Stegostoma tigrinum: one gene and its partners. The protein of the gene in region 1 purifies or fractionates together with the protein of each later gene. This does not show direct contact. Links are inferred from orthologs where the notes say so. Each region holds a gene or a part of one and is shown in the gene's direction. Other genes may lie near its edges. The genes, in order: band 4.1-like protein 3, pnn, numa1 and hspa12a.

Evidence for each region.
Region 2: the proteins of band 4.1-like protein 3 (region 1) and pnn purify together in Homo sapiens (co-immunoprecipitation; 3 studies listed by BioGRID and IntAct, with this or other methods). This does not show direct contact. The link is inferred for Stegostoma tigrinum from reciprocal best matches to the Homo sapiens genes EPB41L3 and PNN.
Region 3: the proteins of band 4.1-like protein 3 (region 1) and numa1 purify together in Homo sapiens (affinity purification with mass spectrometry; 3 studies listed by BioGRID and IntAct, with this or other methods). This does not show direct contact. The link is inferred for Stegostoma tigrinum from reciprocal best matches to the Homo sapiens genes EPB41L3 and NUMA1.
Region 4: the proteins of band 4.1-like protein 3 (region 1) and hspa12a purify together in Homo sapiens (affinity purification with mass spectrometry; 4 studies listed by BioGRID and IntAct, with this or other methods). This does not show direct contact. The link is inferred for Stegostoma tigrinum from reciprocal best matches to the Homo sapiens genes EPB41L3 and HSPA12A.

What each region holds. Positions count from the first base shown.
Region 1 is NC_081358.1:20,955,468-20,962,544, forward strand, and holds the start of band 4.1-like protein 3, read left to right. Parts: upstream 1-4,076; 5' UTR 4,077-4,099; intron 4,100-7,077. UniProt on the Homo sapiens protein: Tumor suppressor that inhibits cell proliferation and promotes apoptosis. Modulates the activity of protein arginine N-methyltransferases, including PRMT3 and PRMT5.
Region 2 is NC_081363.1:55,583,459-55,591,197, forward strand, and holds the start of pnn (pinin), read left to right. Parts: upstream 1-4,717; 5' UTR 4,718-4,752; coding exon 4,753-4,865; intron 4,866-7,381; coding exon 7,382-7,453; intron 7,454-7,739. UniProt on the Homo sapiens protein: Transcriptional activator binding to the E-box 1 core sequence of the E-cadherin promoter gene; the core-binding sequence is 5'CAGGTG-3'. Capable of reversing CTBP1-mediated transcription repression.
Region 3 is NC_081359.1:110,954,405-110,962,234, forward strand, and holds the start of numa1 (nuclear mitotic apparatus protein 1), read left to right. Parts: upstream 1-4,825; 5' UTR 4,826-4,845; intron 4,846-5,000; coding exon of another isoform or gene 5,001-5,089; exon of another isoform or gene 5,090-5,254; intron 5,255-5,319; exon of another isoform or gene 5,320-5,512; intron 5,513-7,830. Other genes in the region: lrrc51 (leucine rich repeat containing 51), read right to left, coding at 5,001-5,089. UniProt on the Homo sapiens protein: Microtubule (MT)-binding protein that plays a role in the formation and maintenance of the spindle poles and the alignement and the segregation of chromosomes during mitotic cell division.
Region 4 is NC_081373.1:20,489,656-20,496,478, forward strand, and holds the start of hspa12a (heat shock 70 kDa protein 12A), read left to right. Parts: upstream 1-3,801; 5' UTR 3,802-4,106; coding exon 4,107-4,146; intron 4,147-6,823. UniProt on the Homo sapiens protein: Adapter protein for SORL1, but not SORT1. Delays SORL1 internalization and affects SORL1 subcellular localization.

The sequences.
Region 1 (7,077 bases):
GTCTGGGGTGGGATCGTTGGACGGTCAGTGTGTATCTGATGGGCTTAATGGCTTGCTTCCACATTGCAGGGATTCTATGAACATCTTGAAAACCAGCACTGGTTATAAATCAGGTGAGAGAAACATCTGCCCAACTGGAAATTCAAAGATTCTAAAAATGCTGATACTGCTGAGAATACAAGATATTAACTGAACAGCCATGCTCTCAGGTTCATCTATTACAAATTAGGGACTCTAATAACTTCTACAATTGCATATGCTTTCATCTTACCCCTTGAACTGGTCACTGTCCCCTTCTCAAGCTTTATACCCGTCTGCTTAATGTCATATTTTATCAATTTTCTCAGGATCGGTAGGTAAAACAAATCATCTTCTATTTAGTCAAGCAGTTGGCTTCTTAATTCTAATCTAGTGCCTCATTTTAATTGAACAGTGATATAACTTTGCGCAACAAATAAATATTTGTCCTGACCAAACAAAAGGAGCCGATTTCGTCAAAGATGGAAAGAACTGCCGATGCTGGAGTCTGAGATAACACAGTGTGGAGCTGGGGGAGCACAGCACCCCTTCTCTCCCGACTGTAACAAGGGGATGTTTGTAAATTCGATATGCAACTTTAATTTTTTCTTAGTTTGGATGTACGCATGATGGAAATATTTTAATCCAGTTCTTGACTGAGGTTCGAAGTAGTGTTGTTTTTCTATAATGAGCAATGAACTTGCCCCTCAGAGATGTTATGGACTTCAGTTTTGCTAATCATAACACCAGATTCAACAATATTTCTACTGTCACCATTTCCATTCTGAAAAATATAACACAGTATTAACAACATAAATATTATTAACATAAAAACTTCATGCATTGTGATTTTATCTGTCATTTACAGTTTGATTATCATTTGCATTCCCAAGTTTATTAAAGACTAAAGTTGTACACGTTGCACAACCATGGGTATATTATAAAGAAAAATATTAGTCTATTTATTCTCAATCCACAATCTCTTTTCATTTGTGTCTTATTTTCATTTGTACAGATATAGGAAGGGAACTTTGTTTGTATGGGCTTAATCTGAAGATGTTTAATTTTTGCAAGTAGTTTGGCATGTAACCATTCTTTCCCTCAAAGATATGAAGGTAATTTTCAAAAATAAGAACAGAAAGTGCTCGAGTTGATCAGCTGGTTGCGTATGGGACCTTAACATTTTCAAATGTGCAGCTGTCTCTCCAATATTGCAATAGTGACTAGCTTCAAAAATGCTTGATTAATAACAAAGCACGTTTGTCGCGAACTGCCTTATACAAATTTGAGACTTCAGTTTTTACCATCGTCTGAAATGTTTCAGGATCAATTGCTAACAAGTGTATTTCACGACATGGTGTTTCCCTAATAGCTAGTTTCTCTTGCTTAGAGAAAGTACATTCAGTGATTTTTATATGTGCACCGACCCGTTCGGATGTGCCGCGACAAACATCCAGGGCAGGTAGGATTTGGGCAAGACCCCTTTGGGTAAAAGGCGGGTGTGGTCCTCCTGTATCACTAACCCCCATCCCAGACGTTGATGTTGTGCATCGTAGGCTTTAGGGGGGAATTTCGGGTTAGTGTGAGAGGGAGGCAATTACCATTATGAAAAATGCTTTTGGATTTGATAATGTGCGACACGATGAGCGCATTATATACCTTTACACTTAATTTTTGCGTCGTCTGGAAGCAAGCGCCACCCACGGATGATTCAAAAACCAACTTTGCCACAATCAAACGCCGTGCCAAGCGCTTGTGATACATTTATTTGTGTCTAGTGGATTAGTTGGTTCATAATTTATTCATACAATTTCACATTTCCGCCTTTAAAATAGACCACTCTACTTTGCCCGTTCAAGTTTTTTTTCTCTCTCGGCATTTTCTGACTGAAATGAACCTGTCATCTGCTGTTCAACGAAAGCTCGTAAAATGGCAGGTATTGATTATAATTGGTATCCCAATGTTCCAATTGGAAAATGCAGATTTTACAGGAATACGGTTAACCAATAGTAGTGACGTGCCCACCCCCTTTTGCTGAGCAGTTCGCATGGTGAGTGGATTGCCCTTCAATTAGTTGACATGAGGTGAAAGCTTTGGCCATGTTGTCGTTTTTAGATAGTGCATTGTGACAAAGAAGGAATAGGAGTTGCCATGTCTTGCGAGTGGGTGTATGTTAATTAAGTTGTTAATACAACTTTACTTAAAAAGAAATAAATGAAGATCAGACTTTTAAGCTTATATTTTCAACGTTTGAGTCGTTCCTAACTGTGCCCAGGGCAGTTTTGAAAGGAGGACAGGTAAGGGATTCTGTTTTCTGAAGGTTGAATTGTCATTATTTTTGTACTTATTTTATTAGTTTTGTGCTTGCGGTCCAGATGAAGTTCCTGAAAGGGATAGACTGGTAGGTGTAGAATGTTTTGTCAGTTTGGAGCTTGTCTCTTGTCCAACGCGGTACTGTATGACAGAAATCTGATCGGTGTTAATGTAGAATCTACAGCAGTTGCCTCAACCTGAAGCTTAGTATGTTCGAGGATTATTTGCTTTTAAAATAAATTAATTTGGAAAGTAAGCCAAGTGTGGTACTGAGACTAAGCTCATATGCAACACTGTGCCTTTTCAGAAATGCTGGTTATTCCCTTTGCAGCAAATAAAGTCACATTTACTTATCAGACACACAAAAAAATCGTTTGCCCAATGATGGACTCTAAACAAATTCAAAGCCCCATTTATCAGTGTTAACTTTAAAAACAGTAGTAAAAATTAAAGTAGTAAACTCATGCAGAGATGTAACTTTTGATCATTTTTCATGAATCTCTGCCCTTACAAAGGGACTTTGTGAAATTGCTGACTGAACCACTTGCCGTTAAGGCTTTCAAAATAAGTCTTATGACGTGGCTGAGATTTGAAGTTTAGTTGCCCATGTTGCAGGTTTTTCTGTACTGTACAAGATAACAAGTAGAAGGTTTTTTAATGCAGTAAATGGATCTTGCTTATAATGTGGATCGTTTGCCATAACTAATGCATTTCATTGATTTGCTGGACCAAGCAGTGGAAAAAATAGTCATCAGCTGATCCAGTTTAATGTGATTATGTAGCAATTGTCTAATCGCCAAACTGCTGATTTAAGTTGGATTAATTTACAACGAGCATCACAGTTGTCCCTGAATGATGATATGCTTTTCTGTGTCAAGTTCAAGAAGTGTTTCCTGTGACAAAAAAAATTTCAGAAAAGATAATACTTTGATCTGTTTCTGCTAATACTTTGAAGGGAACATTTGTAGTTTGAATTTACAGCTGTAGTCTAAAATTAGAGACCATTTATTTTCAATCATTTGGTTTGAGTTGAAACTACACTAAGAATAAACCATACATTTAAACTTGTGGCAAAGGAACAGTTGTTCCTGTTTATATTTAATTAAACTCCTATTAAGATGTTCTGAATTGAACTTGTGTCATCTTCTGTAATTTAGTGATGAAGTGTCTTTATTTGCTTCAAAGAAATAAACGCACTGGATAGAAATTAGGCAAAAAATGAAATTATTTTCTTTCTACAAGTGCTCACATTTTGTTGAGTCTGCAGCTGAGAGAAAATGTCTAAGAGACTGTTGTGTTTATTGCACCTTCTTGTCATGGAATTGCAACAAAACCAGCTGAAAAGACTTAATGTTACATAATTTGTTATATTAAAATAGGTAATATAGCAATGTATAATGTATTTAACAGGAAACTGTAATAAATTAATGGTGCAACAGTTTTAAAGGCTGCCTTTTTTTTGTCTCAATTTTGCTTTGCCACTGCCAAAAACCTCTGGGCTTTGAGGAGACATGAGCATGTATGAATATATAAGTATTTTAAATAGTTGAGCAGAAGTTTTAATATGTGATACTACTTGATGCTTATTTACTCTGTAGTTTTAACATATAGGCTGAAACTTTACAAATGTTTAAAACTTTTTTCAAATAAACATCCAAATTCGTTTTGATCTGATTGCTAATTTTGTTTTCCATGTTACAATCATGATATGCAACAATCAACAATATGATGTAACATCGTTTCTGGACTCGGGACATAATTAACCTCTGTGAGTACTTTGTGTTCATTACCTAAGAATGCCAGTTTTGTAACACACTACATTGTTCTGTTATTGTGTTACTAAAATATATGGATGAAGTTAATTGTATATGAAGATTAAATCTGTTTGATTTATTTTATGTGATGACTAGTGATTTATATTTGCAAATCACCGGAGTAATTTGAAACTGCTAGTGTATTTGATCTCACAAATCAGCTCGTTTTATCTTGAATTTGTATCACAACAGAAGGCCATTTGTGACCTATTATCACATCTATATGGTAAAAGAAATGTGTTAAGTATGTAAATAAGCATATTAGAACTGCAAAATTTATTCTTGTATGGATCAGTTTGCCATCCAACACCAAAAGTTCTGTATGTACGTTCGTGCTGGACTTTTATGATGACTTTGCAAGCAAAACCGAAAGATGTGCACTTTTATAGTTTGCCTTGCTACTTGTTCAAGCAAGTTATTTGAACTAAAATGTATCATATAATGAGGATAACAATTGCAGCAGTCTAGTGAAAGATCTTAAGCGGAAATACCAACAAGCTGATATTTGGGAGAACCATACCTGCGTTCTGTTTGCAACTCATTGAAGTACTTGGCTTATAAATCTGCCATATTTTGCCTAAATATTTCCCATTACAATATTTTCTAACAATATAACATACACAATGACATATACTCTGACAACTAATGTCTTCAGAAATATTGACAATCAAAACTTGACTGATAAGTGAAAAGTCTTTCTGTATTTTGGGGAATAATACAGGTAGATGGAAATGCATATTTCTAAAACGGGTATTATATAAGATCCATTTTTATTACTTTTATTAATAATGGACCAACAGAACCAAGTTCAACCCTCTCCTTGCTCAATGTTTACAAAATGTGCATTCCTTGGAACGTTACAATTAAAAGCAGGAATACTGCTTTTAGTTATAACCTTCCGCAGGAAAACACGTTTTGAAAACATTGGGCAAGGAGAGGGTTGAACTTGGTTCTGTTGGTCCATTATTATTGAATGGCATGTTGATACTTTTGTGAACAGGAGCCACTTGAATGGCTAGCTCCACCTATACATTCAAACCAGCAGGTGCCACTGATATTGGGCAGCAACAGTCGATGGGGAAATACAATGAGGACGATAGAATTGAATTAAATATTGTTAATCCAAGAGTGAAGGGATATGTAAATATTCTTTCTGCACTTAATGTGTATTCTAATGTAGGTGCAAAGCAGCTACAAAATGCAGATGCTTTTTTTAATGTCTACTTACATTGGTTGCTCTCCTTTAAGATTTAAAGGTCATAAAACAGTAGCATTATGGTTATTAACTTGCATGCCTAATCTTTAAATGGAATCAAATAACTTTAAAGTAAAAAGCCAATAAAAGAAATGTTGGCTGTGAAACAGATGAAGAATCTTTGAGACCTAGTTCATGAATGCACTTTAGAGAGGAAAATCAACTGGTCAGGCCGCATACGGTTCCAGACTCATAGCCAAGAGTTGACTTCTAACAGCCCAGGGAATTGCCTAGCAATTCAGTCACTTGTACTCAAAACGATTAGTCATCAGCACCTTCCAAAAAATAAGTGGGTATAGGCAAAAAAATGCTGGCATTGCTACACACTGTCAATGAGTACGAGGAAGCATGCTGTGAAACTTCAGCTTTTGATTCAACTTGAAATTTTATTGAAATGTTTACAGCAAAGTAAAACTTGGAATACCCAATAACCCAAACTGTGAATTATCATTTTCTGTTTACAATAATACCACAACTAATAGTCAATACAGCATGGAGCTGGAGGAACACAGCAGGCCAGGCAGCAACAGAGGAGCAGAAAAGTTGACATTTTGGGTTTGTACACATCATCAGACAATTAGTAATTCTATGATCATTTTAAAATGAATCCGTCTGACTTAAATAAAATGTATTTTCTATTAAGGAATACTCCCAAGATATTTGGCATTACACTAAGCACTTAGATAAAATACTTAGTTAGAATGAAAATGCGCACCTTGTGACTAAGCACTACTTGTGTCTACTGGGCCATAGTGCTGTACTGGGTCGTGCAGACCAGGAGAGTCAAATCCTGACCTGTGCAGTTATAAATTACTGCTGTAATTGGCCTTGGCACACTTTAAGACGAGGTGTAAAAATTCTTGCTTTTAGTTATAACCTTCCACAGGAAAACACATTTTGAAAACATTGGGCAAGGAGAGGGTTGGAGTTGGTTCTGTTGGTCCATTATTATTGAATGGCATGTTGATACTTTTGTGAACAGTAGCCACTTGAATGGCTAGCTCCACCTATACATTCAAACCAGCAGGTGTCACTGATATTGGGCAGAAACAGGCGATGGGGAAATACAATGAGGACGGTAGAATTGAATTAAATTATTGTTAATCCACGAGTGAGGGGATATGTAAATATGTGCAAGATGGAGGAGAAAGTGCTTGGAAGAAGATGTGGCTATTACGAGTGAGTTGAATTATGTGTGTGAGTTCAATTGACTCTTGGATTCCTGAATGCCATTTTTAAAATCACAGCACAAAATGTTCATGGACAATAATGACCTGAAGTGTTCGTAGCATATTTGAACTTGATTCAATGCACATTTTATTTTGCCTTAGATATGATACACTGACTCTTGACAGACTATGTTTTCCCCACTATACCCTTTCTCTGTTATATAAAAAGTGTTTGATGGAATATTGTGGTTGACTGGCTCTGGTTCAAATACTTCAATTATTTCTGTGCTTATGTCAGATTTACCACATAGAGCAGTTTTTTTCCTGAATGTTAATATTATCATTCAAGCAGAAGTAATTGTTGATGCTGTTCTTTATCTTAAAGATTATGTAGTTGATTCTCTGATAGCAATGAAAAAAATCCTGATCTTAATTTCTGTTGACACTGACTGCATATTATAATTTTCTTTAGTTACACTTTAATGATGTAGACATAAAGTATTCCAAA
Region 2 (7,739 bases), on another chromosome or scaffold:
TAAGAATTGGGGAAAACTCTACGCTTGTTGGTGTCATAGCTCGCGCAAGAAAGCTGGTTGTTGTTGTGCAGGTCAGGCATCTCACCTCCAGGACAGGTCTGCAGCAGTTCCTCAAAGTAGCGTCAGAGGTCTAACCGTTCTCAGTTGCTTCATCAGTGACCTTCCCTCAAACATAAGGTCTGAAGTGGAGATGTTCACCGATGATCACACAATGTTCAGCACCATTCGCTGCTGAAGCAGTCCATGTTCAAATGCAACAAGATTTGACCAATATCCGGGTTTGGGCTCATAAGTGACAAATGACATTTGTGCCATACAAATGCCAAACAATGACCATCTCCAATAAAAGACAATCTAACCACTGCTCCTTGACACTCAATAGTGTTACTATTGACCAGAAACTCCCCAAATAAATACCGTTGGCTCGAAGAGCAGGTCAGAGGGCTAGGAATACTGTGGCGAGTAACTCACCTCTCACTCCCCAAAATCTATCCACAAGGCTCAATTCAGGAATGTGAAGGAATACTCCCGATTTGCCAAGAGGACTGTTGTTCCAATAACACTCAAGCTGCTTGACATCATTCAGGACAAAGCAGCCTGCTTAATTGGCACCATATCAAAAAACATCCACTCCCTCCTCTGCCTACAGTCAGTGGCAGCTGCATGTACAATCTACAGGATGCACTGTGGAAATGCACAAAGATCCTTAAACAACACATTTGCTTGCTTCTTTAACCGGGAGCCTAACCCTCCCTCCACTGACCCCTTCTCCCGCCTCCAACACAAGTTCTCATCCTGGGACACTACCCCCAGGCCTCCGACCCTCCCTCGACTGCTTCATCTCCAACTGCCGTCGAGACATTAACCGCGTCAACCTCTCCACCCCTCTCACCCACTCCAACCACTCCCCTGCAGAACAGGCAGCCCTTCGCTCCAATCCTAACCTCACCATCAAAACCCGCAGACAAGGGAGGCGCAGTTGTAGTATGGCGCACTGACCATTACATTGCTGAGGCCAGACACCAACTTTCTGACAACCTCCTCTTACTGCCCCTTGATCATGACCCCACCCCCGAGCAGAAAACCATCATCTCCCAAACCATCCATGACCTCATCAACTCAGGTGACCTCCAACCTCATTGTTCCCCAACCCCACATGGCCCGCTTCTATCTCCTTCCCAAAATCCACAAACCCACCTGCCCTGGTCGACCCATTATTTCCACCTGTTCCTGCCCCACCAAACTCATCTCCACCTATCTGGACTCCATTTTCTCCCCTTGGTCCAGGAACTCCCTACCAACGTCCGTGATACCACCCACACCCTCCGCCTCTTCCAGAACTTCCAATTCCCTGGTCCCCAACCCCTCATTTTCACCATGGATGTCCAGTCCCTATACGCCTACATTCCCCATGCAGATGGCCTAAAGACCCTCCGCTTCTTCCTGTCCCGCAGACCCGACCAGTCCCCCTCCACCAACACCCTCATCCGCCTAGCTGAACTCGTCCTCACCCTCAACAATTTCTCTTTCGATTCCTCCCACTTCCTACAGACTAAGGGGGTGGCCATGGGTACCCGCATGGGCCCAAGCTATGCCTTGCTCTTTGTAGGTTATGTAGAACAGTCCCCTCTTTCGCACCTGCACTCTCCCAAAACCCCACCTCTTCCTCCATTACATTGATGACTGCATCAGCGCTGCCTCTTGCTCCCCAGAGGAGCTCGAACAGTTCATCCATTTCACCAACAGCTTCCACCCCAACCTCAAGTTCACCTGGACCATCTCCAACACATCCCTTACCTTCCTGGACCTTTCTGTCTCCATCTCAGGCAACCACCTACAGACTGATGTCCATTTCAAGCCCACTGACTCCCACACACCTTCCTGCAAAAATTCCATCCGCTATTCCCAATTCCTTCGCCTCCGCCGCATCTGCTCCCAGGATGAGGCATTTTCACTCCCGCTCATCCCAGATGTCCTCGTTCTTCAAGGGCCGCAACATCCCACCCCGCAGTGGTCGAGAACGCCCTTGACCGTGTCTCCCGCATTTCCCACACCTCATCCCTCACAACCTGCCCTCGCAATAACCGCCCGAAGAGAATCCCCATAGTACTCACATACCACCCCACCAACCTCCGGATACAATGCATCATCCTCCGACACGACCACCATCTACAATCCGACCCCACCAAGAAAGACATTTTTCCCTCCCCACCCTTGTCTGCCTTCTGGAGAGACCACTCTCTCCGTGAGTCCTTTGTCCACTCCACACACCCCTCCAACCCCACCACACCCGGCACTTTCCCCTGCAACCTCAGGAAGTGCTACACCTGCCCCCACACCTCTTCCCTCACCTCCATCCCAGGCCCCAATATGACTTTCCACATCAAGCAGATGTTCACCTGCACATCCGCCTATGTGGTATACTGCATCCACTGTACACGGTGTGGCTTCCTCTACATTGGGGAAACCAAGCGAAGGCTTGGGGGCCGCTTTGCAGAACACCTACACTCAGTTCACAGTAAACAACCGCACCTCCCAGTCCCAAACCATTTCAACTCCCCCTCCCATTCCTTAGATGACATGTCACCAGCTTCAAAATCTCCCCTCCCTCCACTGCATCCCAAAACCAGCCCAGCTCGTCCCCGCCTCCCTAAGCTGTTCTTCCTCTCACCTATCCCCTCCTCCCACCTCAAGCCGCACCTCCATTTCCTACGACTAAACTCATCCCGCCCCCTTGACCTGTCCGTCCTCCCTGGACTGACCTATCCCCTCCCTACCTCCCCACCCATACTCTCCTCTGCACCTATCTTCTCCTCTATCTATCTTCAGTCTGCCTCCCCCCCTCTCCCTATTTATTTCAGAATCCTCTCCCCATCCCCCTTTTCTGATGAAGGGTCCAGGCCCAAAATATCAGCTTTTGCACTTCTAAGATGCTGCTTGGCCTGCTCTGTTCATCCAGCCCCACACTTTGTTATCTTGGATTCTCCAGCATCTGCAGTTCCCATTATCTCTCATTCCAAATTCTTAACCTGTTCCATTTAACAGCAGCAGATAGATGGGATTACCACCACCCGAAAGTTTTCCTCCAGGCCTGTCACCATCTTGACTTCGAAGTATATTTTTATCCTGTCTATGTTGCTGGGTCTGAACCCTGGAACTTCCTCCTTAACGGTATTGTAAGTCTTACTACAGCAAAAAGTCTGCAACAGTTCAAGAAGGCAGCTCACCACCACCTTCTCAAGCAACTAGAGATGGGCAATAAATGCTGGTCCAACCATTGATGACCATGCCCATGAGTGAATAAAAAAAAAGCTATATATCAAGTCAGGATAGTGTGTGGTTTAGAGGGAACTTGCCGATGGTAGTGTTCCCATGTATTTGTGGCCTTTCTCCCTTGTGATAATGGTTGTGTGTTTTGGAAGTGTTGTCAGAGGAGTCATGGTGAATTTCTGCAGTCCATCTTATAGATGGTACACAATGCTGTTACTATGCATTAGAGGTAGAGGGAGGGCGGAGATGGAGCCTGTAGAGGTGAGCTTAGGTTGGGAGTTAGGGAGGGGATACGTCAGTTCGGGGAGGACAGACAGGTCAAGGGGGCAGGATGAGGTTAGTAGGTAGGAAATGGAGATGTGGCTTGAGGTAGGAGAAGGGATAGGTGAGAGGAAGAACAGATTAGGGAGGCAGGGACGAGCTGGGCTGGTTTTGGGATGCAGTGGGGGGAGGGGAGATTTTGAAGTTTGTGAAATCCACATTGATAGCATTGGGCTGCAGGGTCCCCAAGTGGAATATGAGTCGCTGTTCCTGCAACCTACGGATAGCATCGTTGTGGCACTGCAGGAGGCCCAGGATGGACATGTCGTCTAAGGAATGCGAGGTGCAGTTGTTTATTGCAAACATGGCTAGCCAAGTTCAGTTTCTGGTCAATACTAACCTCCAGATTGTCGACAGTGGTAGTAAAGCCATTGAATACGAAGAGGCAGAGATAATGGGAACTGCAGATGCTGGACAATCCAAGATAACAAAGTGCGGGGCTGGATGAACACAGCAGGCCAAGCAGCATCTGAGGAGCACAAAAGCTGTCGTTTCGGGCCTGGACCCTTCAGCGGAAAAGGGGCTGTGCTGCTTGGTAACTTTTGGAGGGGTTTTTGTGATCTACCTTGTTAAAAATATATCAAATTCCTCTGACATTGATTTTCTTTGTTATAAATTCGCGCTTAACTTGGCTCCTTACGTGAAAAGAAATCCCTGAGAGGTGAGTGGAAGGGTCACCGGGCCCGTAACGTTAATTCTGAAGAGATGGTAGGAACTGCCGATGCTGGAGAATCTGAGATAACACGGTGTGAAGCTGGATGAGCATAGCAGGCCAAGCGGCATCTCAGGAGCAGGAAAGTTTGACGTTTGAAAGGTCAAACGTTAATTCTGAATTTTGTTTTCATCACACATGCTGCCAGACCTGTTGAGCTTTTTCAGCAATAGGGATAATGGGAGCAACATCTGTTTTTGTTCCGAAGACGTGAGCCCTGACTCTCAAGCAGCAGTCTGCCAAGGTTCACTCAGGCACTCTTCAATAGGAGACCACTGATTGGCCACTGCGCTGGCCGGCGGTTTTTTTGATTGGACCTTGTTCCAGTGACCGCTCATCGCTGATTGGCGCATCAGTCTGACCATCACTAACGTTAGGCGGGCCGATTGGGGAAGGGGTGGGGCCTGGCCTGTTCCCAGAGTGCTGTGCGCACGGCGGCGAGAGAAAAGATGGCGGTAGCGGTGCGAAGTTTGCAGGATCAATTGGAGAAAGCAAAGGAAAGTTTGAAGAATGTGGACGAGAACATTCGGAAACTGACTGGCCGGGATCCGAACGACCTCAGGTGACCGCCTTTCAGCCTACGACACCTCAGACTCGGCTATCAGGGGCTCGGGATTCTCCGCTTTATACCCACTGGGCCGCCAGGTGGTCGGGCCCGGGCTTATCCCGCGGCTTCTCCCCGGGAGGGGGGTAGGAGAGAGAAGCGTCGAAACGAAACGGGAAGGGAAGGGAAGGGAGAGTTGGAGGCCGAACTTCGGGACTTGCCCAATATTGGCTGTGGCGAGATCCCACTCCTTGGAACGTCTGACTGCCTCTCTCAGGCCCGTGCCTTGTCTCTTGGGCCCTGCCGCCTCCTGGCAAGCGGCCCCATGGCGTTCCCAATCGCGGAACTCACCAGCGGAGGAATGCCCCAGCTTTGATGGCGTGGGCGCCTAGTCACCTTAAGTGAATGGAGGAAGTGGTGAAAAAGAGCATCAACCCCATTCAGTGGCCATTACTCAAGATATTTTAACGATTGAAACGTGTAGAACGCCTTCCCCCTTGCACCGCTGTGAAATTGTCCCTTCACTTTTCGCGGTTACTAACGGATTCCCGCGTTTCAGGACCTCACTTTCTTCCCGCCACAGAATCAAGTCCCGACATTTAAAAGAATCTTAGTAATTAACAGTGGATTCGTAATTAGCCACTTGTAAACCGGCGATTTTCACTTACTTCAATACACGGCAACCCAAACATAAATGTGGATAGTAGGTGGGATTCTCTGCAGAAAGTATCGAGACATTTTGCCACTGTGTACCAAAACATCACTAATAAACTAGTTCTCCTGGTGTTCTTACATTCATTAATGTATTGTTTTATGTTATAACGTCATGAAGTTTTGAGATTTGTAACATATTACAGAATGATAGCAAATCAGACTGTGTTTTGTGTCTCATCACCCCTGAAGTAGGAAGTGGAAAACTACCGAATGCAAAATAACACTTTCCTCCCTGCCCCTACCCCATCCCCATCCCAAAGCTCGTACGCTCTGAGTCTTGGCTAATTTGACATCACCTCAGTTCTTGATGTATTTCTCACCTTTGAAGAATTAAGCTGTCTTTCTGTGTTAAAGATCATCTTTTTTTCAATATGTCAGATGAGTGCTTTTGAAAAGGACACTATAATTGTAATTCAATAAAGTTTAGTGATGACTGCAGTTTAAAAGCAATAAAGGGCTTTATTGTGGTAGAGTGACCAATGACTTGAGCCATATTTGCATATACTGGCAGACTAATTGGGAAGAATGCACAAAATCCACCTGATCAATAACAAAAGCACAAGGATTTCTGTACCAAGTGTATGTTAAGGTTCAGTTGAAATAAGTAGACTAGCTTTTTTTGCAATGCATTTCAGTAATTTATTTTTCAAAAATGACTAGGAGGCTTTCTTGCCAGTATTTAGCCTGAGCTGCTTGAATTTCAGTGAGCAGATGTTAATCCACCAAGGTGGATCATAGGGTCTGAAATAACAATATATAGAGCTGGATGAACACTGCAAGGCCAAGCAGCGTCCGAGGAGCAGGAAGGCTGATGTTTCGGCCTAGACCCTTCTTCAGACTTCAGATAAGCCTGAAACGTCAGCCTTCCTGCTCCTCTGATGCTGCTTGGTCTGCTGTGTTCATCTAGCTCTACACCTTGTTATCTCAGATCCTCCAGCATCTGCAGTCCCTACTATGTCTGGATCACAAGGTCTACCAGGTTAACCTCATCCTTTAAGATTATGTTGAGAGGCATTACATTTGAGAATTGTACAGGAGTTTGTGGAGTCATAATGGAACTGTCCAAGCAGGAGTGGGTAGAGATCTTGTTGCATTCGTGTTATTAAACGCACTAGGAATAGCAGCAAGAATGGAGAAAGTAAGTGTACTGTGATGTAGTGGTAGAGAAAGATTAAGTGGCCAACTGTATCAAAAGCCTTGAGCTCAAGAGGAGGAATTTGTTGTGGCCATTGGTGACCGTAAACAGGGTTGTCCCCACTTTTTGAAGAGATTTGAGTGGCAAGTCAAAGGGCGGCAGATGGTAAGAGGAAAATTTCTTCCATTTATTTCTTTGTTTGCCATTTCATTCCTGTTGAATTAAAAGGTGTTTTGCAGTGGATTGTGGATAAAAGTGTGAAGCTGGATGAACACAGCAGCCAAGCAGCATCTGAGGAGCACAAAAGCTGACATGAGCTTTTGTGCTCCTGTCATGCTGTTTGGCCTGCTGTGTTCACCCAGCTTCACGCTTTGTTATCTTGGATTCTCCAGCATCTGCAGTTCCCATTATCTCTTGCAGTGGATTGTTGCTGGTTTACCGTTATTCCTGTTTAATATGATCGTATGCATCACTTGCTAAATCCTTATTTCCTAATCAAAAAGGCAAGTGCTGATTTTTGAGTGACCCGTTCCCTTCTGTGGGTGAAGTTCATAGATGTTAGCTAATAGTTGCAAAAGATGTTCTCACTTTCACAATATTTCTTATAGTTTACCATACAAAACCCCATACTTGGGTATATGACTAGCTTTAGTCCTTGTTAATTCAAATTTATTTTTGAATACAGGCCCGGCCAAGCTAGGCGGTTATCCATCGCAGGTCCTGGTGGAGGTAGAGGACGTGGGCTTGGATTACTTAGGTAAGATAGAAATTCATTACATTTCCTTAATACCGTTTACATTTTTCATTTGATGGAATAGAATCTTTTACTATGTTAAATTTAAAGGAATTGCATTTATTTCATGTAAATGGCAATGTAAGATTCAAAGTTAGGAAGTGATTTTATTACATCTAATTGGCATACATTTTTAGCTTTAGTTTATAATTTAATGTGTACTAGGAATTCTGCGAAATTTTGGTTTGTGATTTAGCCGTGTAGATATATAGCACTGAAACAGACCTTAGATCCAACTTGTCCATGCTGA
Region 3 (7,830 bases), on another chromosome or scaffold:
CTTCCCCTACCTCCTCAGGCTCCACACACAAGTTCCCTATGCTATCCCTGATCGGCCCTACTCTTTCTTTGATCATTCTCTTATTCCTCACGTAAGTGTAAAAGGCCTTTGTGTTTTCCCGGATTCCTTCTGCCAAGCCTTTCTCGTGCCCCCTCCTGGCTCTCCTCAGACCATTTTTGAGCTCCTTCCTTGCCAGCATGTAATCCTCTCTAGCTGAACTTGACCCTAGCTTCCTCCACCTTATGTAAGCTACCTTCTTCCTTTTCACAAGAAGCTCCACCACTCTCATCATCCAAGGTTCCTTTATCTTACCCCTTCTTGCCTGTCTCAGAGGGACATATTTACTCATCACTCCCAACAACTGTTCCTTAAACAGTCTCCACATGTCTAGAGTTCCCTTACCATGGAACAACTGCTCCCAGTCCATGCTTCCTAACGGTTCTTGCCTAACGGAATTGTATTTACCCTTCCTCCCAGTTATAAACCTTACCCTGCTGTATGTACCTATCCTTTTCCATGACTATTGTACAAGTAACAGAGTTATGATCGCTACTGCCAAAATGCTCTGCTACCAACAGGTCTAACATTTGGTCCGGTTTATTGCCAAGCACCAAATCCAAAGTGGCCTCTCCTCATGTTGGTCTATTTCCTTCCTTGCTGAATGCAGTGGACAAAATCCGCTCCATCTAAACTAGTATAACTAAAATGTTTCCAATCAATATTTGGAAAGCTGAAGTCACCCATGACTGCAACCCTGTGACTTGTGCACCTTTCCAGTATCTGCCTCCCAATCCGCTCCTCTACTTCACTGCAACTGTTGGGGGGGGGGGGGGGCGGTCTGTAAAAACCCCCCCCAAAGTGACTGCTCCTTTCTTGTTCTGGATCTCAACCCAAACTGACTCTGTAGACATATCATTCTCAAATTGCCTTTCAGTAGCTGCTATACTAGCCCTGACTAGCAATGCCAATCCCCCGCTTCTTTTTCCACTCTCCCTAAATCTTTTGAAAGTGTCTAAATCCTGGAACTTCCAACAACCATTCCAATGGTTACAGGGAAACTGCAGGACAATGGGTTTGGGAAACACATTAGCCATGGTGGAGGAGGCTCAATGGCCTAATTCTGTTTCTATGTCTTATGATCTTATTAACATCAAAAAAGCCATAGAACTGGCCCTTTCCTGTGAAAATGTGGTACCATGCTTTCAGGAGCTTCATGGGTCCACAGAGTACAATCTGCAGCTTTGGGCTATCCCCATTGTGCAAGCCAAGTCCCCACCAAAAAACCCTCACGGCTCCCACTAGTTGTCAGGAAGGGCGATTGGAGTCAGAGGCTACAAGCTTCCAGAACCGGGCAGAAGTTTCTCCATGATACAGTGAAGACTGAGAATGTCTATGCTGCACTTGCAGTCATAGGGTCTGCCTGAGACAAGGCTATCGAAACAGGCAAAATGCACACCTTTTCACCTCAAGATAGAGCTTTGCAAATAAATCAGTATGATGATTAGGAATTGATATGTTAAATTATAAATCACTGCTCCCAAAGTGGCTCCAACTAATATAAAGCTCCAGATAAATTACCAACCCCTTGACAATAAAGTAGCCACAGGTATGCCTGCATTTGTTGTTTGCAAACAAACCTTTAGGAAACTCCATAGGGGCATCTTGCCTTTCAGCTTGTGAGACTCTGAGCTTAGACTGGCCAAATGCACCAGGGAGCCCTTACATATTATGTATGATTTTATTCTCACTTGTATTTTACAGTAAGAATACAATAAAATACAGTGAAAAGGTTTCATTTGTTCCTGTGATTTGGTGCCATTTGAATAATTTAAGAATAAGGAAAGAAAAGATATGGCTTAGAGAGAGTCCATTACTCCTGAGCCAACTTATCACCATTAGCGGTGCCAATGCCGCCATCTCTCCTCCACTGCTTCACCGCTGTCTTCATAGGACACAACCAATATCAAAGTCACCGATCCTCAGGCACCATCTTTCGCCACTGGGCTGCTACTCCTCCACCACCATCTCACCACCACCTATGCCAGACCATCCAACACAGTCACATATTTTGCTGCTGGGTTCATTTCAATGTCGCTATGATGCTCTTCCACTACCGCTTTGCCGCCACCAGCCCTGGATCCAAACAACGATGAAGTCACTGATTCTCAGGCACCATCTCACTGACTTCACCTCTGCTGATAGAGCAGTCGCCAATTCCAATGCCAGGTCCTGTGTTTGCCCCCAAAAAGCAAGAAGTCACTCGAGGCCCACATCTGGCTCATTTGAGATTCATGCTCTCATGCTGCCAATGATGTCTGAGCTCTGGACAAAAGGTAAGCAAATGTATATAGGAGAGAGAAAAAAAGAACAAGAAAAGACAAAGAACAAGAAAATCAGTTGGAGCAGATGAGCTCCAGCTCAAGAACCCTATTCTGATGCCACCTTGAATGTAATTGAATTCAATTGTAATTGAATATTGGAACCATTATAACCTCAGTTATGGCAGGGCAGCAGATAGTCTGACTCCCTTTAGTGGTAGTGCAAGGGACAAGTCCCAATCTTTTGGGAAGGGATCTGCAACAGAAAATCTACCTGGATTGGCAACAGATTTTTAAAATGAGTACCAATGATCTATACAAAGTCATTAGGAAGTAACCCGAAATGTTTGAAGAGAGCTTTGTGAAAACTAAAAGGCACCAGAGCCAAGATCTACGTAGACCCAGAGGGCCTACCTGAATACTTCAAGGCATAACCAGTTCCCTTTGCTCTACATACAAAGGTAAAAGTTGAATTAGACTGACGAGGGGAAAGTGACATAATTCACCCAGTCCGATTTGCTGAACGGGCTGTGCCAATAGTCCCAGTGGTAAAAACCCCGCCCCGCCCCGCCCGCCCCCCCATCTGTCCCAGCCTGGGACCAGTCTATGCACGCCAGGAGTAGTGGCTCTATTTGATATTCAACATTAAATGATGTTTCTCTCCAGTTGGGCTTCCTCAGTTGTTACGCAAGGATATTAAAAGTAGCTACAGAGATAGTGGTACACCAGTTGTAATCTTCCAAGAATGCTTTGAACTTGGAAAAGTCCCAAGAGGACTGGAAATATAGCACCTTTATTTACAAAAAGAATATATTAATCTGTCAATTGAAAATATTAGTCCATTGTAAAAGGATGTAATGGTAGCACATTTAGAAATACATAATGATAAAACAGAGTCAACATGGTTTCATGAGAGTGAAGCCATGGCTGACAAATGTATTAGAATTCTTTGAACAGGTAACAAGCAGAATAAATAAAAGGGGAAGCAATTGATATAATAGATTTAGATGTTCAGAATTCCAGAAGTCATTTGATATGTTCGGCTACTTAGTAACAGCCCACGGCATTGGAAATTGAATTTAGCATTGACAGAGGATTTTCTAACTAATAGAGGGGGTTGGGATAAAGAGAGCGTTTTCAGATGGCAATCTGTAACCAGTGGTATGCCACAGGGATCAGCATTGGTGTCACAACTACTGATAATATATATGAATGACTTAGATGAGGAATATTATATACCCAAGATTTCAGATTACATAAAAAACATGTGGGTATGGTTTATGAAGAGGTTTACAGACAGGAATGAAGGGTCAGGCATTAGAATAGATGGATCTTCAATGACATAGTCACGATGGCCAAAGGCCTTCTTGTGGCATAAAATCTCTACCAAACCAAAAAAAAAGGTCCTTCGGCACATTGTGTCTGTGCCGGTCATCAAGCATCTTTCCTTGTTAGTCCCATTCTCCAGCACTTCTGTTCTAACGGCCCACAGCCTTCTGTTCTAATGCTTTGCAAATGTTCATTTATTAGATGTCTTGAAGGTCCTTACTTCTACCACGCCTTTAAAGCAGTGGGTTTCAGCTACCCACCCTCTTCTGTGCTGTAAAAATTGTATACCACTGCCAATTAGTATTATACTGTACAAGTCCAGTAAAAATCTTGCTCCTTGCCAATGTCCTGATGATTACAAGGTGAAAAGTTTTGACAATGTGTATTTTCTTTTTCGGCAACACTGAAGTTCTGATTCCAGCCTTGGATGATTGTGCAAACTCCATACTGACATTCTCCCTATGTTTCCTCCCACAGTCCACAAGTGCACGTTAGGTGGATTGGCTATGCTAAATTGCCCGATAGTGTCTGGGGATGTGCAGGTAAGGTGGATTTGCCATCGGAAATGTGTGCTTATGGGGATACGGTGGGATCAAGTGGAATGCTGTCCAGAGGGTCAGCACAGATGTGACGGGCCAAACGGCCTCTATCTACGTCTTATGATTCTACGACTATGTATCAGAATTTCATGAAACATACCCAAAGAAAACCAAATGGAGTGAACAGAGTGTCAGTGATAATGGGAACTGCAGATGCTGGAGAATCCAAGGTAACAAAGTGTGGGGCTGGATGAACACAGCAGGCCAAGCAGCATCTCAGGAGCACAAAAGCTGACGTTTCGGGCCTGGACCCTTCATCAGATTTGTTCTCTTGAACAGAGTGTAAACTGTGAAACTGATTAACTCAAGGTTTAGTCTGGAAGTGTGTAAAACGCCTAATAAAAAGGTGAGGAGCTGTGTGTGATATTGGATGGACCAGTGTCTACTGCGCGCTCTCACTTACTGAGGTGCTTCAGCACAACCTTCCTCTTTTGGCATCATGGGGTTGCTAGGGGCAACACGAGCGGTGGCTGCGCGTGGCCTACTGGAAGTTGTAGTTTCCGCGCCAGCAGCCACCCGCGGAGGGACCTGGCGAGGGACTAGACTCTCCAGCGTGACTTGGAGCGGTTGCGGCCAACCCCTGCTATCTCCTGATAAAGGTGGGCAGCTTGTAAACCCGAGAACCTTTTCAAATACTGTTCCTTTCCCGCGGCGGGTGAGCTATCCGTGGTCCGGTGCGCCACAGGAATGACGACGGAAAGAAACGACTGACGGACGGGACTACAAATCCCAGGGTGCCAAGATAGACACTCACCCGGCAATGTTGCGCGACGTCGAGGGCTTGGTGGTTTCCTCCTGTTCGTCCGCCACCCATTGATTCGTGTCGCTATCCACCACCTCCATTTCTATCGATCTGTTTGCCGCTTATCGCTCTAGTCAGCCATTGCGGCGGCTGCTGCTGCTAGAGGAGGAGGAACGGCTAACGACGAACTCCCCCGCCTTTTTTTTGTTGTGGCAACGTCATCACGTGTATTTTCCTCCGTACCGGGTTCCCGGATGTCAGAGACGACGCCAGTTACCCGGATTTGGGGGGGGGGGGGGGGGGGGCGGGAAGGTGATGTACGGTACCCGGATGGAGAGGATCACGTGCCCCTTACCCAACACCGGGGACCAATGGCGGCGCAGCCTGGGGAGGCGGGGCCCTGGTTTGAAAGGGTCGGGGCCCGGGAGGCCTCAGAAAATCAATGCCGAGGATCCTGCGGCCTAGTCCAGGATCGACGCGGCAGGCTGCTGGGGGTTAAGAGCTATTCGGAGTGTACGTCTGAGGTAAAACGAACGATTAAGGGTCGGGGTAGGCCGTTGTGCCGTTCGGGTCTGAGCCTGTCCTACTCCCACTGGATGGATAAATGGAAGGCCTTATCGTAAAGACATGTAGGGCAGGACCGCAGATGCCTTACTGTAAGGGACAGGTGTGAAGCAGTGGGTTTTAACAACCGGTAATGATGACCTAATCACTGAGACCAGGCGCTAAGTTCTGGAAAACGGATGTTTGATATGAGCGGCGCGGATACGAATAGCCGCAGGGCCTCTCCGTGTTGTAAAATAAACCCGATAACTAGCTTTCAATTATATTCTTCAAGGAATGTGGACGTCGCGTGCCAGGCCAGAGTTTATTGGCCGCAGGTTAGCTAAGAGTTGACTACATGTAGGTCAGACTAAGTAAGGATGGCAGATTTCCTTCTCTGAAAAACAGATGGGCTGTTTCCTGACTGACTTTTAACAATGGTTAATTCCAGATTCCACCATCTACCTTGGCAGGTCACCGGAACATTACCTGGCTCAATGCTATTAGGCCATTGGTTCCCCTTAATTTCGGACTGTTTGTTTGAGCATGTCAAAAAGATTGTTTTGACATGAATTTACGTTTGTAGTAACTACTGTGGTGGAATTTGAACCAATTTTCCCCCAAACAAATCATCTAGGGCATTTGAGGTTCTGGTCCATTGACATGACCACTAGGTTACCATTTACCATGAAGTTTCTTTATAGAAACATAGAAGATAGGATCAGGAGGAGGCCATTAGGCACTTTGAGGCTGTTCTGCCATTCTTCACGATCATGGCTGATTATCTAAGTCATTAGCCTAATCCTGCTTTCTCCCCATAACTTTTGATCCCATTTGCCCCAAGTGTTATATCTGATTGCCCCTTGAATACTTTCTGTGGTAATGAATTCCATAGGCTCACCACTTTGAGTGAAGAAATGTCTCCTCATCTCTGTCCTAAATTGACTACCCTGAAACCCCTCACTGTGACCCCTGGTTCTGGACACACCCACCATTGAGAAACATCTTCCCTGCATCTATCATGTCCAGAGATAATGGGAACTGCAGATGCTGGAGAATTCCAGGATAATAAAACGTGACGCTGGATGAACACAGCAGGCCCAGCAGCATCTCAGGAGCACAAAAGCTGACGTTTCGCGCCTAGACACTTCATCAGAGAGGGGGATGGGGTGAGGGTTCTGGAATAAATAGGGAGAGAGGGGGAGGTGGACCGAAGATGGAGAGAAAAGAAGATAGGTGGAGAGGAGAGTATAGGTTGGGAGGTAGGGAGGGGATAGGTCAGTCCAGGGAAGACGGACAGGTCAAGGAGGTGGGATGAGGTTAGTAGGTAGGAAATGGAGGTGCGGCTTGGGGTGGGAGGAAGGGATGGGTGAGAGGAAGAACAGGTTAGGGGGCAGAGACAGGTTGGACTGGTTTTGGGATGCAGTGGGTGGAGGGGAAGAGCTGGGCTGGTTGTGTGGTGCAGTGGGGGGAGGGGATGAACTGGGCTGGTTTAGGGATGCGGTGGGGGGAGGGGAGATTTTGAAACTGGTGAAGTCCACATTGATACCATTAGGCTGCAGGGTTCCCAGGCGGAATATGAGTTGCTGTTCCTGCAACCTTCGGGTGGCATCATTGTGGCACTGCAGGAGGCCCATGATGGACATGTCATCTAAAGAATGGGAGGGGAAGTGGAAATGGTTTGCGATTGGGAGGTGCAGTTGTTTGTTGCGAACTGAGCGGAGGTGTTCTGCAAAGCGGTCCCCAAGCCTCCGCTTGGTTTCCCCAATGTAGAGGAAGCCACACTGGGTACAGTGGATGCAGTATACCACATTGGCAGATGTGCAGGTGAACCTCTGCTTAATGTGGAATGTCATCTTGGGGCCTGAGATAGGGGTGAGGGAGGAGGTGTGGGGGCACGTGTAGCATTTCCTGCGGTTGCAGGGGAAGGTGCTGGGTGTGGTGGGGTTGGAGGGCAGTGTGGAGCCAACAAGGGAGTCACGGAGAGAGTGGTCTCTCCGGAAAGCAGACAAGGGTGGGGATGGAAAAATGTCTTGGGTGGTGGGGTCGGATTGTAGATGGCGGAAGTGTGGTAGGATGATGCGTTGTATCCGGAGGTTGGTGGGGTGGTGTGTGAGAACGAGGGGGATCCTCTTTTGGCGGTTGTGGCGGGGGCGGGAGCGGGGTGTGAGGGATGTGTTGCGGGAAATACGGGAGACGCGGTCAAGGGCTTTCTCGATCACTGTGGGGGGAAAGTTGCGGTCCTTGAAGGACTTCACCAGTTTCAAAATCTCCCCTTCCCCCACCGCATCCCTAAACC
Region 4 (6,823 bases), on another chromosome or scaffold:
TGACTGTTTCGGCGCCGCCTCTTGCTCCCAAGAGGAGCACGAACAGTTCATCCACTTCACCAACACCTTCCACCCCACCCTCAAGTTCACCTGGGCCATCTCCAGCACATCCCTCACCTTCCTGGACCTCTCAGTCTCCATCTCAGGCAACTAGCTAGAAACTGATGTCCATTACAAGCCCACCGACTCCCACAGCTACCTAGAATACACCTCCTCCCACCCACCATCCTGCAAAAATTCCATCCCCTATTCCCAATTCCTTCGCCTCCGCTACATCTGCTCCCAGGATGAGGCATTCCACTCCCGCACATCCCAGATGTCCGCGTTCTTCACGAACCGCAACTTGCCCCCCGCAGTGGTCGAGAACACCCTCTACCATATCTCCTACATTTCCCACAACACATCCCTCACACTCTGCCCCCACAACAACCGCCCAAAGACAATCTCCCTAGTCCTCACATAACACCCACCAACCTCCGGATACAATGCAACATCCTCCAACACTTCCGCCATCTACAATGCGACCCCATCACCCAAGACATTTTTCCATCTACACCCTTGTCTGGCTTCCGGAGAGACCACTCTCTCCGCGACTCCCTTGTCCGCTCCACACTCCCCTCCAACCCGACCACACCTGGCACCTTCCCCTGCAACCGCAGGAAGTGCTACACTTGACCCCACACCTCCTTCCTCACCCCCATCCCAGGCCCCAAGATGACTTTCCATATCAAGCAGATGTTCACCTGCACATCTGCCAATGTGGTATACTTCATCCACTGTATCCATTGTGGCTTCCTCTACATTGGTGAAACCAAGCAGAGGCTTGGGGACCGCTTTGCAGAACACCTCCGCTCGGTTCGCAATAAACAACTGCACCTCCCAGTCGCGAGCCATTTTAATTCCCCCTCCCATTCCTTAGACGACATGTCCATCCCGGGCGTCCTGCAGTGCCATAATGATGCCACCTGAAGGTTGCAGGAACAGCAACTCATATTCTGCTTGGGAACCCTGCAGCCTAATGGTATTAATATGGACTTCACAAGCTTCAAAATCTCCCCCTCCCCCACTGCATCCCAAAACCAGCCCAGCTCGTCCCCGCTTCCCTAACTTGTTCTTCCTCTCACCTATCCCCTCCTCCCACCTCAAGCCGCACCTCCATTTCCTACCTCCTAACCTCATCCCGCCTCCTTGACCTGTCCGTCCTCCCAGAACTGACCCATCCCCTCCCTACCTCCTCACCAATACTCTCCTCTTCACCTATCTTCTCTTCTATCCATCTTTGGTCCGCCTCCCCCTCCCACCCTATTTATTTCAGAACCCTCTCCTCACCCCCTCTCTGAAGGGTCTAGGCCCAAAACGTCAGCTTTTGTGCTCCTAAGATGCTGCTTGGCCTGCTGTGTTCATCCAGCCTCACACTTTGTTAACCCTGTCTACGCTTCATTTCCCCAATGTAGAGACCTACAGAAGTTGCCAGACCTGTTGAGATTTCCCAGCAACTTCTGTTTTTGTTTCAGATTTCCAGCATCCAAGTTCATTTAAGTTTTTTTTTAATCTGGTGACACCTAGGTAAATTTGGATATTGACACTTTCCAATTTCTCACCATTTAAGAAATATTCTGCATCTTTCTTCATCCCAGTAAAGTGGATAACCTCCCACTGGTTCACATTATATTCCAATTACCATGCTCTTGCCCACTCACTCCTGTCTAAAACCCCTGAAGACTTTTGGCATCCTCCTCACAACTCACATTACCACCAAGTATTGCATTATCTACAAACTTGGAAACATTACATTTTCCAGCAGATCCAAATCATTCTTGTAGATTGTGAACAGCTGGGGCCCAAGCACTGAACCTTACGGTAGTCCACTGGCCACAGACTGACATATGCTGACTCTCTGATTTTTGCTTGTTAACTATCCTCAGTGTTATGTGCTTTAATTTTGTTTACTATTCTCCTGTATGGGACAATATCAAAAGCCTTCTAAACATCCCGAATTGAGGAAGGGTGACTCGACCTGAACTATTAACTGTGATTTCTCTCCACAGATGCTGCCAGACCTGCTGAGCTTTTCCAGCAATTTCTGTTTTTGCCTTCTTCACTACTCTGTCTACCTGTGACTCCACCTTAAGAAACTCTGTGACTTCACCTTCAAAGAACAATGAACTTTCACCCGAAAGTCTGTTTCTTCAGCAACACATGCCAGGACCCTAGTATCAAACATATAGGTCTTGCCTTCAATTGCATTACAAAAATGCAATAACTCATTTATTTAAATTAAACTCCATCTGTCACTTTTCGATCCATCTGATTAAGGTCCCATTGTATTCTGTGACAACCTTCTTCACTGTCCTGTCCATTGGTAACCCCCCAGAATGTTGACAGTGGGGAATTCAGTGAAGGTAGTGCCATTTAATGTCAAGGAGTGATGGTTAGATACTGTCTTATTGGTGATATTCATTGCCTCGCATTTGTGTGACATGATTGTTGATGAAACCATACCCTTTGTTTATGAAAATAGCTGTTTTTTTAGTAAAGTGTTTAAAAGCCCCAAAGCCACTTTGACAGCTACTGAGAGAAGGTGAGAGTGAGGGAATGTAGTGCTATGTGAATAAGGGGACAAAATGGAATGGTTTGGGTTCCTGATCAGTGACGGGATACAGATGGCAGGGTGAGAGGGTTCAAAGGGTCAGGTGTTGGAATTAGGCATGAGTGTATGGTGGCAGAGGGGTGGAGGAGGTCAATTTGGGTGTTTGGAGATAATGAGACTGGTTATAGTCCATGGGTGGGCATCGTAGTGTATGAGGAGATTGTGAGTTTGGTATCAATGTGGGGTCGGCTGGGTCGACTGGGGTGCTGGTCAGTGTGAGTGATCATTGTGGAACAATCATTGTGAGTGATTGAGCTGGAGCTCACTGGTACAGTTAGGCACGATTAAGGGCGGGTTTTAACGTTCTAACATTTCTTGGCTAGTTGGTAAGGTACGTTGGGACTCTCAAGTCTTCGACCATACGGAACGGGGACTACTTCAGAGGGTTTCCGTCATCCGGTAATTGCCCTTCGCAAGTTTAAAACTTTCCGGGCAATTACTGTGTCCTCAGTGTGGGCAGATTTTGACAGGTCCTGATGCGCTTCTTTTGAGGTACGCCCGTTTTCCGACTGCCTGGATCCCGGAGGTCTGGGCCCAAATGTCGAAGAGTTACCCCCAGAAGTGGAGGGTTTTTTTTCCTAATTATTTTAAGCCACAAGAACTGATTTGGAAGTGAAACCTACTGGAAGATGGCATATATCATATATGATTCTGGATCAGGAAAGGATGGCAGCGTTTAACCAGACATCAGAGGGACTTAGAGCAGCTGTGTGTACAACATTGTTTTCCTTCAAAATGTTTCCTATATATTTTTAAAAGTTTTTGCATAATACACAGGATTTAAGATACAAAACTAATAGCACTATTAACTTGAGGACATTAGAACCAAGAGTCTTGCTACAGTGTATTTCTGCAATTAAAATCTCTTCGATTTAAAACTATTGCCGTGTACATTTCACGGGGAACAGTGTTAAGATTGACAAGTACAGTGCAAAATAATGAAATCTGGAGGATCTAAAATAACCGGATCAATCTCGCGCAGTTACTGGGCGATTTTAATTGTTTCTCTTGCTGTGTGATTCATGCTGGCAGTCTGCTGCCGTTGCTCGGTCATTTACTGCAGCATGGGAAGCCCTTCCCTGCTGATGCTGCTGACACTGTGTATGAACGCACTAGGGAGGAGGAGCTCTGCAGAAACATGAGGAGTAAGAGTGCAAGCAGTTCATTCTTTCTTTATGTTTGGGTTAATTTCGGCAAGGAAACCTTTTGAGCAGAGTTAGGGTGGGGTTGGGGGGTCAAAGATTAGAACTATTACTAATCTGTGTGTATAAAAGACTTTGGGAGAGAGAAGGGAAGGACGACAAAAGCTTGTTATAGTAGTTTGGTGACAAGCTGCGATACAGACAGATTGTAATATTTGTTTTCAATGGCAGTGACTGCACTGTGAGCTAAAGATTCTGCTAGCCTAATGATTAATAGGTTTTAAAGACTGCCGATTTTGACTAGATTCACCACAATGTCTGAGAAGGAGTCTGTGACTGAAGGCCACACTGCAGGTAGGAAAAATTTTACTGTTATGACGCTGCATTGGCCTGCAGTGATACTGCCAGGACCCACACAGTACTCGTAGTCTTTTTCATTCGCTGCTGGTTGTTTTTATCTCTAGGATCCTGACTGGATGTAATATCCTGTTAAGTCTCTCAAGCTTCACTGCAGAGCCCAGCCATTGTAATAGTCACATGGATGGGGGACTTGTGGGATTCAATGCAGCATAAAATTACATGGAGCTGATTTGTTGCAGGTGAAAAAAAACCTTGCAGCATAATCCGTTTCATTTGGCTTTTCCTCTCTTAGCCACTTACTGTGAGCGTTCAGTTCAGTCCCAATGTTGGAGCAATCCGTTTTTGCCCCGATATATGTTTTAATCTCAATGATCGGATTTACGGTTTTGCTTTTAAACAATCCCTACATGCAGTTACAATTATAAATCGTGATAGTGCAGATTTCAAAATTACTCACCCTAATGCCGTGTCGTAGTGATTTCGATCAAGGCCACTTTAAAATGAGTTCTCAGATAAAACTGACTCAAATGTAGGAAGTAGCATGTCATAAGATTCAAATAATGGTTTCGATCTTTTAAGTCGTAGACATTTTTATTTGGTATTAAATATTGTTTGTATCCTGAATGAGGCAGTTAAAGCTGCAGAGAGTACAAAGTAGCTCAATGAGAAGGAATTTCATCACTAATCGTTTTAATAAAATGATTGGGAAGGTGGATATTTTAACTTGTCTTCCCAGTTGCTGGAACCTAAAGCACCTTCACAGTCGTGATATCATTCTCAGTCATCTGTGTGAGCTTATGCCAACTAAACAGCTCTCCACAACATGGTCAATCTCCAGCTTCAATGTTCTTTCACAGCAATGTCTAGACACCAGGCCTCTACTTTGGGGCCTCCCAAAAGAATGCCGATTCGAGGAGGAACAGTTCTTTTGACTTGGGATCCGTGTATAACCTAGAGATCACAAAATTTCAAATTATTAATGCAAAAAATATAACATCATTGTCGATATTCAGAAGATAAAATAGAAGTCACTGAGCAAAAATTGTTCCACTTTCATTTGCTTTACCATTGAAACTTCAAAATAAATTATTAATTAGAAAATTAATTGAAGCAGAATGGTCGCTGAACATTAGTAGTCTCTTTTGGACAAGTTTGCACCTTGTTTTTTAGTATTAGGGTGCTCAATTGTACTGATTTTTAATTATAAAATGACTGACTGCTGTGATTCTTTTCATCTGAGTAGCTTAATGGACTTACATCATAACAAAAATTGAAAATAAAATCAGCAGGTAATGCCTATTCTACTACTGTATGAGTGAAACCTCACTGTCATAAGCATGAATATAATAATAGTGGTTCTGTAGACATTTTGGACACACTTGCTGTATACAATGAGAAATATTACAGAAAACTGAATAGATACATTGTAAATTGAATAGAAGAATGTGTGAGATTCTAAAGATTTCTAGGTAAAAGTTTTACTGTACTTTTTTTGTTGATATATTTTCACCAATACAAAAATCTATAAGATAGTGAGTGTCAACTGAGTGCACAACGCATCATCCTCCGACACTTCCACCATTTACAATCCGACCCGACCACCCAAGATATTTTTCCATCCCCACCCCTGTCTGCTTTCCGGAGAGACCACTATCTCCGTGACTCCCTTGTTCGCTCCACACTGCCCTCCAACCCCACCACACCCGGCACCTTCCCCTGCAACCGCAGGAAATGCTACACTTGCCCCCACACCTCTTCCCTCACCCCTATCCCAGGCCCCAAGATGACATTCCACATTAAGCAGAGGCTCACCTGCACATCTGCCAATGTGGTATACTGCATCCACTGTACCCGGTGTGGCTACCTCTACATTGGGGAAACCAAGCGGAGGCTTGGAGACCACTTTGCAGAACACCTCCGCTCAGTTCGCAACAAACAACTGCACCTCCCAGTCGCAAACCATTTCCACTCCCCCTCCCATTCTTTAGATGACATGTCCATCATGGGCCTCCTGCACTGCCACAATGATGCCACCCGAAGGTTGCAGGAACAGCAACTCATATTCCGCCTGGGAACCCTGCAGCCAAATGGTATCAATGTGGACTTCACCAGTTTCAAAATCTCCCCTTCCCCCACCGCATCCCTAAACCAGCCCAGTTCGTCCCCTCCCCCCACTGCACCACACAATCAGCCCAGCTCTTCCCCCCCCACCCACTGCATCCCAAAACCAGTCCAACCTGTCTCTGCCTCCCTAACCTGTTCTTCCTCTCACCCATCCCTTCCTCCCACCCCAAGCCGCACCCCCATCTACCTACTAACCTCATCCCACCTCCTTGACCTGTCCGTCTTCCCTGGACTGACCTATCCCCTCCCTACCTCCCCACTTATACTCTCTCCACCTATCTTCTTTACTCTCCATCTTCGGTCCGCCTCCCCCTCTCTCCCTATTTATTCCAGTTCCCTCTCCCCATCCCCCTCTCTGATGAAGGGTCTAGGCCCGAAACGTCAGCTTTTGTGCTCCTGAGATGCTGCTTGGCCTGCTGTGTTCATCCAGCCTCACATTTTATTATCGCAGAGTTATATGTTGGTGTGATACCCACGCAGTTGATTAGCACAAGAATAGAAAATTTGAGCTGGAATGGAAAGGGGTGTGAAATCCTATTTTGGCTGG